Linked DNA regions of Caenorhabditis elegans. The protein of the gene in region 2 interacts with the protein of the main gene of each other region in a pairwise test. Each region holds a gene or a part of one and is shown on either strand. Other genes may lie near its edges. The genes, in order: swsn-1 and metl-13.

Region 1 (5,154 bases), on a different chromosome or scaffold from region 2:
TCAATATGTTGGGATTTTTCACTGAAAATTCGAAAAATTTCAGTGAAAATCGATTTTTCTGTTGAAAAATTCAAAAACTGCGGGATTTTTTCGGTTTTTCATGACAATTGGCCGAAAAATCAGAAAATTTCTCGCGAAAATCGATTTTTCTGATGAAAAATTCAAAAATTGAGGGATTTTTTCGGGTTTTCCATAATAATTGGTCGAAAAATTAAAACTTTTCAGTGAAAATCGATTTTTCCGATGAAAAATTGTGTGAAATTGCCGATTTTCGCTCAAAAATAGCCGGAAAATGCTCAAATTTGCACTGAAAATTCCAATTATCCTCAAATTTGCACTAAAAATTCCAATTTTTCTCAAATTTGCACTAAAAATTCCAATTTTTCTCAAATTTGCACTAAAAATTCCAATTTTTCTCAAATTTGCACTAAAAATTACAATTTTCCTCAAATTTGCACTAAAAATTCAAAATTTCCTCAAATTTGCACTGAAAATTCCAATTTTTCTCAAATTTGCACTGAAAATTTCAATTTTTCTCAAATTTGCACTAAAATTCCAATTTTCCTCAAATTTGCACTGAAAATTCCAATTTTTCTCAAATTTGCACTGAAAATTCCAATTTTTCTCAAATTTGCACTGAAAAACCAAGGCAGACGCCAGGTACGCACTCTCATCGCGATGGCCTGCTTCTGATACTGATCAATTTTCAGGCCGGGCGTCGAAATGGACTCAATCTCAGTCTTAATCTCCTCTTTTGGTGGCTCCCCAGATGCTCCAGCAGACTCCTTTCCAGGTGGATTCATTGGCTGAATGCCAGTCGGTGTATCAGCTAAAACCATAAAATGGCTTGTTGGTGGCGGAGCAACAGGAGCCGGCCGAGCATCCGAATCAACTTGATAATTCAGCAGGCCCCATTGCTCGAGAAACGAGTGAAGCCGCACAATTGAGCACACATCACCGGCCAAATTCCGGCGACAAGCCGTCGCAGACACGTATTCAAATGGATTCAGACGGTACGTGTCGACCATAAAATTACGGTAGGCAACGTAGACGTCCGGTGTCTTGCTCTTATTCTTTCCGTTGAAAAATTCAGGCATTGCGCGTTTCTCGATTTGATGAATTGCGTTATAGTCGAACCAGCCGGCGTATGAGGGGACTACAATGTAGTGGGTCTGCTCAATGACGTTTCCTTCGGCGAGTTGTGGAGCTTCTTTTGTTGATTGGACACCTTCTTCGTCGAGATCAGTGAGCTTTTGGCCTTTTGGTGCGCTGAATTCGGCGTCTTTTTCCTTTCCTGCAAAAGAGAATTGGTTGGAAATTGAGGGGAAATTGGATTAGCAGCGCCCAAAACTTGTAGTTTGTAGTTTAGCAGCGCCCAAAATTGAATTAGCAGCGCCCAAATCTTGTAGTTTGTAGTCTAGCAGCGCCCAAAATTGAATTAGCAGCGCCCAAATCTTGTAGTTTGTAGTTTAGCAGCGCCCAAAATTGGATTAGCAGCGCAAAAAACCTGTAGTTTGTAGTGTTAGCAGCGCCCAAAATTGAATTAGCAGCGCCCAAATCTTGTAGTTTGTAGTTTAGCAGCGCCCAAAATTGGATTAGCAGCGCAAAAAACCTGTAGTTTATAGTGTTAGCAGCGCCCAAAATTGAATTAGCAGCGCCCAAATCTTGTAGTTTGTAGTTTAGCAGCGCCCAAAATTGGATTAGCAGCGCAAAAAACCTGTAGTTTGTAGTGTTAGCAGCGCCCAAAATTGAATTAGCAGCGCCCAAATCTTGTAGTTTGTAGTCTAGCAGCGCCCAAAATCGGTCAGCAGCGCCCAAAATTGAATTAGCAGCGCCCAAAATTGAATTAGCAGCGCCCAAAACTTGTAGTTTGTAGTTTAGCAGCGCCCAAAATTGAATTAGCAGCGCCCAAATCTTGTAGTTTGTAGTTTAGCAGCGCCCAAAATTGTATTAGCAGCGCCCAAATCTTGTAGTTTGTAGTTTAGCAGCGCCCAAAATCGAATTAGCAGCGCCCAAAACTTGTAGTTTGTAGTTTAGCAGCGCCCAAAATTGAATTAGCAGCGCCCAAATCTTGTAGTTTGTAGTTTAGCAGCGCCCAAAATTGTATTAGCAGCGCCCAAATCTTGTAGTTTGTAGTTTAGCAGCGCCCAAAATCGAATTAGCAGCGCCCAAATCTTGTAGTTTGTAGTTTAGCAGCGCCCAAAACTTGTAGTTTGTAGCTTTAGCAGCGCCCAAAAAAATTTTAGGAAGGAAATTTGGAAAAATCTGGTTTTTTTTGGTCCTGAAATGCAATTTTGACCGAAAAATTGGTTTTTTTCTGGAAAAATCAGATAAAAATGCGATTTTTTCAGAAATTTCGAAGAAAATCTGAAGAAAAAGCGCTGAAAAATTCCATTTTTGGCTAAAATTTAAATTTCCGATTTTTTTTCCAAAAAATGAGTAGAAATTTTGAAAATGCGCTCTGGAAATGTTCGAATTTTGACCAATTTTCGCTAAAATTTAGCTTAGCAGCGCCCAAAATTCAAATTTCGGTCTTTTTCGAATGAAACTTGAAAAAAAAAAAGTTCACTTTTGCGTAAAAAATGTGTTGAAAAAAGCATTTTCGAGTGTAAAAAACCAATTTTTTGCGTTTTTCAACTCTCAATTCCGGAAAAAATGGAAAAATTATGCAAATTTCCCAGAAAATCAAAGTTTTCCAGTCAGTTATTGCAAAAACTTGAGCTCTGACGCTGAAATTGCACTTTTTGAGGGTATTCGGGCTGCCCGGAGCCAGATTTTCACGGATTTTGCTCGATTTTTTTCGATTTTGTCGGAGAAAATCACTAAAAAATGCGTTTTTCAGAGCTATTTTTCCGCATTTTCGCCGAAAATTCCACACAGATTTCGCTACCTTTCGGCACTTCAACCTTCACAGCGGCACCACTTCTGCTATCATCGTCGTCGCCGGTCATCGAAACGTCACCGTCATCGTCGTCGCGTCTCCGCTTCGACGCTCCCTTCTTCATTCCACTTTTCGACGAAATTTTGCTGAAATTTAGCGGGGAATTGAAAAGATTTTCAGGGTTTTCAGCGAGGAAAAAGCATATTTATGGGCAGAAAATTGCGAAAAAATCGATTTTTTTCACTGAAGTGAGCAGAAAAACGGCAAAATTTCTAGGAAAAATGTCTGTAAAATCAAGAATTTTAACAGAAAACTGTGGAAACTGCAAAAATCTCGTATTTTCTTGGAATTTCTTTCGAAATTTTCAATGAAATTATGACTAAATAACCTTAAAAAGAGACTTTTAACAAAAAACTGCGAGAAAATTGGTCGAAATTGGTCCAATATCGAAATATCGAGGCCCGCGTAGATTCAAACAAGGCGGCAGTGTGAGGGAGCTCGCGCGTAGTGAGAGACGCCAGAGAAAACAGAGAAAACGAGAGAAATAGTGTGGAGAAACGAGAGAGAGCGCAGAGAAAGGAGGCCTCGTGGAGAGGGAGAGAGAGAACGCGGGATGAACATCTGCTCAGAAAATGGAATACGGGGGGACCTGTAGGACGGTGGGGGAATTATCGATTTTCTTGGGGTAATTGGGATTTTGCAGCGCTAAAATAGAGCGGGAATTGTAGGAAATTTGAAAATTTTCGATTTTTCCAGGGAAAAATCCCGGAAAATTTCCGAAATTTGAAGCATTTTTGAGAAAAATCGAGCTAAAATCTTGTAGTTTGTAGTTAGAATTCAGGAAAGTTGAAGAAAATTTGATTAAAAATTGATTTTAAGCGAAAAAATTCGAATAAATCGAAAAAATTGACAAATTCAAGCATAGCAGCGCCCAAAAAGCTGTAGTTTGTAGTTTTAGCAGCGCCCAAAATCGAATTAGCAGCGCCCAAAACTTGTAGTTTGTAGTTTTAGCAGCGCCTAAAATTTGAATTAGCAGCGCCCAAAACTTGTAGTTTGTAGTTTTAGCAGCGCCTAAAATTGAATTAGCAGCGCCCAAAACTTGTAGTTTGTAGTTTTCGCAGCGCCTATAATTTGAATTAGCAGCGCCCAAAAAGCTGTAGTTTGTAGTTTTAGCAGCGCCTATAATTTGAATTAGCAGCGCCCAAAACTTGTAGTTTGTAGTTTTAGCAGCGCCCAAAAAGCTGTAGTTTGTAGTTATTTTGAACTTTTTTTGATGAAAATTGAGGAAATCGGGCTTTTTTTCCGAAAAATTCGCATTTTTTAGCGATTTCTAGCAAATTTCAGCGAAAAAATGGCAAAAATTACGTAAATTTCAGTAGAAATTCCAGTTTTCGAGCTGAAAAAGAGCAAAAATAGAGCATTGAGGGGGGTATTTAACCACATCAAAAAAGTTGAAAATACAACGGAAAAAACGATAATTAATTTGAAAAATGTCTTGTTTTGTTGTTCAATGAAAAGCGTCACAATGATGATAATGGTGAATAATGAATAAATATAAAAAATACACAAAAAAAAGTACACAATTTAGTGATAAATAGAGCGATAAATCGAGATCAATTCAAAAAATTGGAAAAACGGTTCGGACGATTTTGAACGTATAGAAGCCTAAAATGAGCTCAAATGAACGAATTTTGTAATAAAACTGCTCAAAAATTTTAAATTTTTTAAAAATTGTTTTATGGCGGTTCAAAATTTTGAAAAAATTACACTTATTTTAGCTAAAATCACGAATTTTTCCGAGTCACATCTGTCTCCGAAGTTGGCTTTTTTGGAATTATCGTCTTTTATTACATATATATCGGTAATTAATCTAATTTAATGTCGTCGATTAAGGTATTTAAAACCGATAGGTAACAGAGGTGGGCGGATATTTTCTAATAATGAATTTATCAATAAGTATTGATGTAGTTATTCAGGAAGAAATGTATCCGAACAAAAGAGTAACTATTAAGCAACATTTTAATATGATAAAACCTAGAAAAATTCTACAAGTTTTCTGTATAAACGATATGCAAGTCCATTATCCAATATCCGTAAAATCCGTAATATCCGATATCCGATGTTGCTCGGCTAATAAGTTTTAAGGTCTCGGTAAGGAAAACTTGTAGAATTTTTCTAGATTTTATCATATTAAAATGTTGCTTAATAGTTACTCTTTTGTTCGGATGCATTTCTTCCAGAATAACTACATCAATACTTATTGATAAATTCAT
Region 2 (5,550 bases):
TGGCTGAAAAGAAAATAGCTTCGAGCAGTTTAAATTCTGTGAAACTTCAATCGTAGGTTCTTATTGTCTGGCTGTATATAAAAGCAGGCATCTAATTAGAAGGCGATGTAAATAAAGTAGTTTGTTTTAATTAAATTAAAGTTCAACTAGTGAAAGTTTAGAAAAAAACGGTTCATTGTATTGAGGTAGGTACGAAGTAGGCCGGCATTTTTGGGCCTAATTGGAAGGCTTTAATTTCCCTAGTTACCTTTCTTATCATTGTACGTTTTGGTTCAGAACTGGAATCAACTAGACATATTAGCAATAGAAATAGAGAAAGTACAGTACTAACTTGAACCATGATGGCCGCACAAGTGAACTTATGAATTTTATAACCGCACGGTGAGAGGCGGAAATAAAAATTAAAAGATTAAAAAACACAGTTTGATAGAAATTACTCGTTGTCTGAACTTTTTTAGAGATTAATCTATTTCTGCAGTACAGATCACTACCAAAATGAATACTATTTTGTAGAAAAACTGACGATCAAAAATTAAAAGTTTCATATTTTGTGACGGAAAATATTTTTTAGTTCCAAAGTTATTATAGAATAGTTTTGGCCGCATAATCAAATACAGATAATTTGCACAACTTCCTAGTGGAATTCCAAATAGTCTACATCGGAAGTACAGTAGGATCGCGTCGAGATATCGAATATGCTGTTAATAGTTGTTTTTCCTGCAAAGTTGTTTTTCACTGCACCGTGAGAACATTAGACATGTTTGCAAAGTGTAAAACAAAATTCATCAGGTGAACAAACGAAACAACAAACGGGGGAAAATTTGAATAACTGGGAACAATCGAATACATATAATAAAAAATTACTGAAAATAAACAAGATAACAAACGAAATTGTGCAATTAATAATCAACCATACGAATGTTTGAGATAGCACCGACAACCTCATCATAGCTTCCAATATCTTTGCGAACTGTGTTGATTAATTTCTGAGGAACCACTGGTTTTATTGTGTTCTTGGGTGTTTTGAGACCGATGATAATCTGAAAGAAATATATTTGCTAGTAGAATTTCAATAATTAATTTAGTTTACCTCATTAACATCTTCGAAGGACAGAACTGTGTAGAGAGTTGGGAAATACTCTGCGATATTCTTTTTAATCGACTTTCCGAATTCCGAATCGCGTGTAACCAAATTCAAACTAATCATTCCTTGTTCTTTCACCGAGTTTTTCATATTTCCTAGAGCTTCTGGGGTAAGGAAGGCGGATGGTGGGCATTGAAGAGCAGCGTTCTGACTTCCAGAAACATCCACAAAAATCACATCGTATTTCTCTTCTGGAAATAAGAATTGATTTGTAAAATAAAATTTGAACATGATATTTTAAATACCTTCAGGTTTCTTTGCAGTCTCCTGGAGATGAATAAGAGCATCTTGGATGACAACGTCAATTCTAGCGTCCGAATGGGGGAACGAGAAGTGAGAATTTGCGATTTTGAGTACTTCTGGATCAAGTTCCACAGCGGTTACATGAGCCTGAAACGAAAATTTAGCACTGTTAAGTTTCTAGACTTGATTGATACCTTTTTGAAATGTCTGACAAGATATGCAGTCAAAAGTCCACCACCTAATCCAAGAACAGCCATCTTACACTGAGCATCATTCTTGGCTAATGGTTGTTGCGGACTGATGGCTAGGGATCCGATCATCATTCTATGGAAATCGCATGCCAATTGATCGAGATCTATGACCGTTTGCTTCTTCTTTCCGGCTGTAATGTTAATTTTAAATTTTGAGGTGAGCATCATTAAACCGTTCTTTTTTAATTCTGATAAACTACCTCTCGTGTATTAACAAGATGGGAAATGTTATTCTTTTTCCACCGAAAATAATACAGAAGGATGTGCGCCTTTAAACAATACTGCAATTTTCAAATCTCGTTGCTGCTCAGTTTTCATTGATTTTTCAGTTGTAATAAATCCATTTTACTCTTTAAAGGGGGTTGAAAAATGAAATTTTCAACTACTAACTTTTCAGATAAGCTTCAGATTGTACCAGATTCATCGTATTCAGAAAAACTAGTCTTCTAGTTTGATTTCCTTCAACAGTAACTTCTTCAACACTCCAACCACCATTGATATCCGAACGTCCCGTTGAAACGGTTCGCTTAACATCGACTCCTCCGATGGATAGAATTTCGTACTGAAAATCGGGTTTTCATATGTTTCGTGTTCAATTCTACATACATTTCCAGTATTATCTTGTCTAACATCCAGCATTCCAACAAAATGTCCAATATCACTCTTCACACCGTCCATTCCTTTTTCATATTTTTGATTTCTGTTGAGGAAAACGATTGCGAGACGTTCGCGGCCACATTGAACACGAAGAGCTTTTCGTCCCTTTGGTGAGGCGAATAGCCATTCAGAATCACTGAAATTAATATAAGAATTCGAATTTAAAAATGTTTTCTATACAAACCGTCCAATTGGAACCACAAATGCGGCGAATGTGTCAATCTTCTTGGCTTCTGGATTATCAACAACACAGATACGATAACGTGGTCCTAATGATGGATCTGCTCCATGAAAGTCGATTGAAACTTCAGAGTCCAGCTTTCTAAATTAATTTCATTAATTTCAAGGGAAAAACTAAAATGAATTACTTCGAGCACAGGTAGATGAATTGTGAGAGCTCCTGTTCTCCACGAATAGAATCCTTCAATTCGTCAGTGCTATCGATACGATCAGTACGGATGGAGCTGGAGCGAAGAACTTCTAGAGGCTAAAAATATAGGTTTTATTTAAATAAAATAATTTGCAATTTATCTACCTACCAATGGATTTGGCATTGGTGCTCGCATTTTCGTGGCAATAAAGCAGAAAACTGGCATTGGGAATCCAGAAGCCTTGTTCTCAACTTTTTGAACACGTAGGATATATTGCTTTCTGGAATAACGTTTTACAGATTTTTGAGAAAAATGAATATTTTACAATGGATAGAAGTGATTAATCCAGAACTCGGTGATATGTGGTTGAGCCAATGTGACAATGATATATCTTCCACCAGAAGCCAATACACGATGAACTTCCTCGAACATCTTTGTAACCAATGCTTCATCGGATTCTGAAGCTGATGGTGGAAGAAGAGCGTCGAGAGTTCCTTTATCAATTACAATGGTATGTGCTTCATCGGCCATGGATAGCTATAACATATTATTTTCGAATTTCTTTTCTTTTAATTGTTCATTGTGCACAACGGGACATTCTCCAAACTCACATTAGCAGCATCTCCAGTCTCAAAAGTCATTCCGAGTCGTTCTTTATTTTTACGAATCTGTGTGGCAATAACAGATGGTTCTACATCAATACTGTGAATGCAATGAAATCCATTATCGTAGAGTTGGGTCGCTAATTCCGAATTACCACATCCAAGTTGAAGGAACGTGTCTTTCGGTTTCAAATATTTATCAATTACATTTGATAAAGAATTATAGTCACCGTACCTGAAAGAATTCAAATTTTTACATGAGAATCGAAAGCATTCAATTTTTGTGTATGTTGATGAGGAAAAATTTCTATCTAAAAAGAAGAAAAATGGTCAATATTTTAAGTTATTTTTCGAAACATTGATAATTTTTCTTTGACAAATCTGAAAAACACTTGATAGTGATGTGATAATTTTCTTTTAATTTTGTTTGAAAGACATCATATTTTAACAAAGAAATATAATTATTTAATTACCATTCGAATGGAGATTTTCGTTTTGCAAAGAAGTTCTTCCAGTACGCTGGATCCGTGAAAGATTGTGGCTCATTTGGAGCGGACATGGCCTGAAACTATAGAAACTAGAAAAATAATCATTTTAAATACTCGAAATAAAACATGAGGCTAAATGAAAACCAAAGAAAATAAAATTATAATTAAGAAGTAAAAAATATGAGAAACATTCATTATTAAAGTTAAGTAATCTTTTTTGAAAATATATCACATTGAAAATTGATAAACTGTCTTTGGATGATTTTGAAAATCCTGAAAATCCACAACCGGGGAAAAAAATCAAAAAGAGATGAAAGGATGACTAGGACAAATAAAGAGATAAATATTTTGCTTTGTGATTTGAATATTCTGCAGAAATTAAAGAGAAATCGAAGGCACAATGGGGGAAATATATAAAGAGGTCACAAGAAATATTTACAATTTGAATGCAAAAAGTTATATTAAAAAGATCAAATATCATCATCGCTCATTTCATCCAGTAGTCCAGACATTGCTACCGTTCCATTGTTCAGCTGAAAATCTACACATTTTTGAGAACATTTCGGGTAATTTTTTATTTATTTTTTCTTTAAAATAATTTCGAGCGATATTTGATTTTCCGATTATTTCAATATAAAACTCACACTTCCAAGTGCACCACCTCCTGCTTGACTCCTTCTTCCACCTCTTTCTAAATCTATCGAATTCCTTAATCCATCTCCTTCATCCTCATCCTCATCATCATTTAATTCGAATCCTTCGTTCGTCCGGTTACTCAATGGCCGATATCCTTGAACTGTATCGGATCTTCCCCAATTGGGATCAGATTTGAGTACGGTATTCTTACATCCATAAGCGAAGAATATTATAACAATACACATTGAAGGAATTAAAATAAGCGAAAAACTCCATGAATCCTGAAGAAAAATTATGTGCTTTTGATAAGCTTTAGAATTGAGTCAAATACTCTGTGGAATAACCTACCGTAATCTGATTAAATACGAAACCATGTGTCATTGGTAAATATCTGTTCTCTTTTAAAGCTCGTTTCACAATTTCCATGGTTCCATTATTTTCAGTTGGTGTGATACCAAGCACATGACACATTATATTGTACAAATCCACATTTGAAGGAATATCGGCAATCTGAAAGAATATTTATCATACAGTTCTCAAAATGCCTAGCTTATACCGTATAATTTTCAGAAAACGCTGGGCCTCTCATAATAAGGAAAGCTCTCATCTCTGGACGATCAGGATCTTGTCCGTGAGTTGATGAATTGAATTTTAATGTTCCGTTTTCTCCATATTGCCTGAAAGTTGATTTCAATAAACTAATCGTTGTAATATTTTTTCCGGTAAACGGATCAAACTGCCTTTTTTTAATATGATAATTCAAGAAAAAATGTCCCATTCCATCTAAAAATGATATTTGTTTTTGTTGAAAAACTTGACAAAGGTCTCAAATAGTGCCGTTAAAAGTTATTCTGCAAATGACAACATTCGGGCAATATTTAAGGTTTTTTTTCCAATTATTCAACAAAGCTAAATATTATTTTCAGATAGAATGCACCTGTTTCTGCATTACTATTGTTTACGTTTGCCAGAAAAATTTGCCGCACAGCCCGGTTGTAAACCACATACTTTTCCATAAGATCCTTCGTACACGAAAACGAAATCGAAGAACCGATTTGCGGCTCGAAAACGATTTTTCCAATTCGCGAACTGTTTCGATAATGCCATCTTTCTGGAACTTCCTCTCTCCAATGAATATTCACATCATATCCATGCTCT

The links.
Region 1: the proteins of metl-13 (region 2) and swsn-1 interact in a two-hybrid assay, tested with the Caenorhabditis elegans proteins (3 studies listed by BioGRID).

What each region holds. Positions count from the first base shown.
Region 1 is NC_003283.11:20,246,456-20,251,609, forward strand, and holds the start of swsn-1 (SWI/SNF complex subunit SMARCC2), read right to left. Parts: upstream 3,028-5,154; 5' UTR 3,006-3,027; coding exon 2,891-3,005; intron 1,295-2,890; coding exon 669-1,294; exon of another isoform or gene 1-668.
Region 2 is NC_003282.8:6,633,369-6,638,918, reverse strand, and holds metl-13 (Methyltransferase domain-containing protein), read right to left. Parts: upstream 3,831-5,550; 5' UTR 3,828-3,830; coding exon 3,742-3,827; intron 3,504-3,741; coding exon 3,278-3,503; intron 3,204-3,277; coding exon 2,992-3,203; intron 2,947-2,991; coding exon 2,835-2,946; intron 2,783-2,834; coding exon 2,664-2,782; intron 2,618-2,663; coding exon 2,480-2,617; intron 2,432-2,479; coding exon 2,245-2,431; intron 2,201-2,244; coding exon 2,029-2,200; intron 1,770-2,028; coding exon 1,582-1,769; intron 1,535-1,581; coding exon 1,390-1,534; intron 1,336-1,389; coding exon 1,091-1,335; intron 1,041-1,090; coding exon 900-1,040; 3' UTR 764-899; downstream 1-763. Other genes in the region: C01B10.7 (TransThyretin-Related family domain), read right to left, coding at 1-3, 248-340; C01B10.9 (Bis(5'-adenosyl)-triphosphatase), read right to left, coding at 4,227-4,289, 4,401-4,673, 4,741-4,902, 4,949-5,069, 5,401-5,550.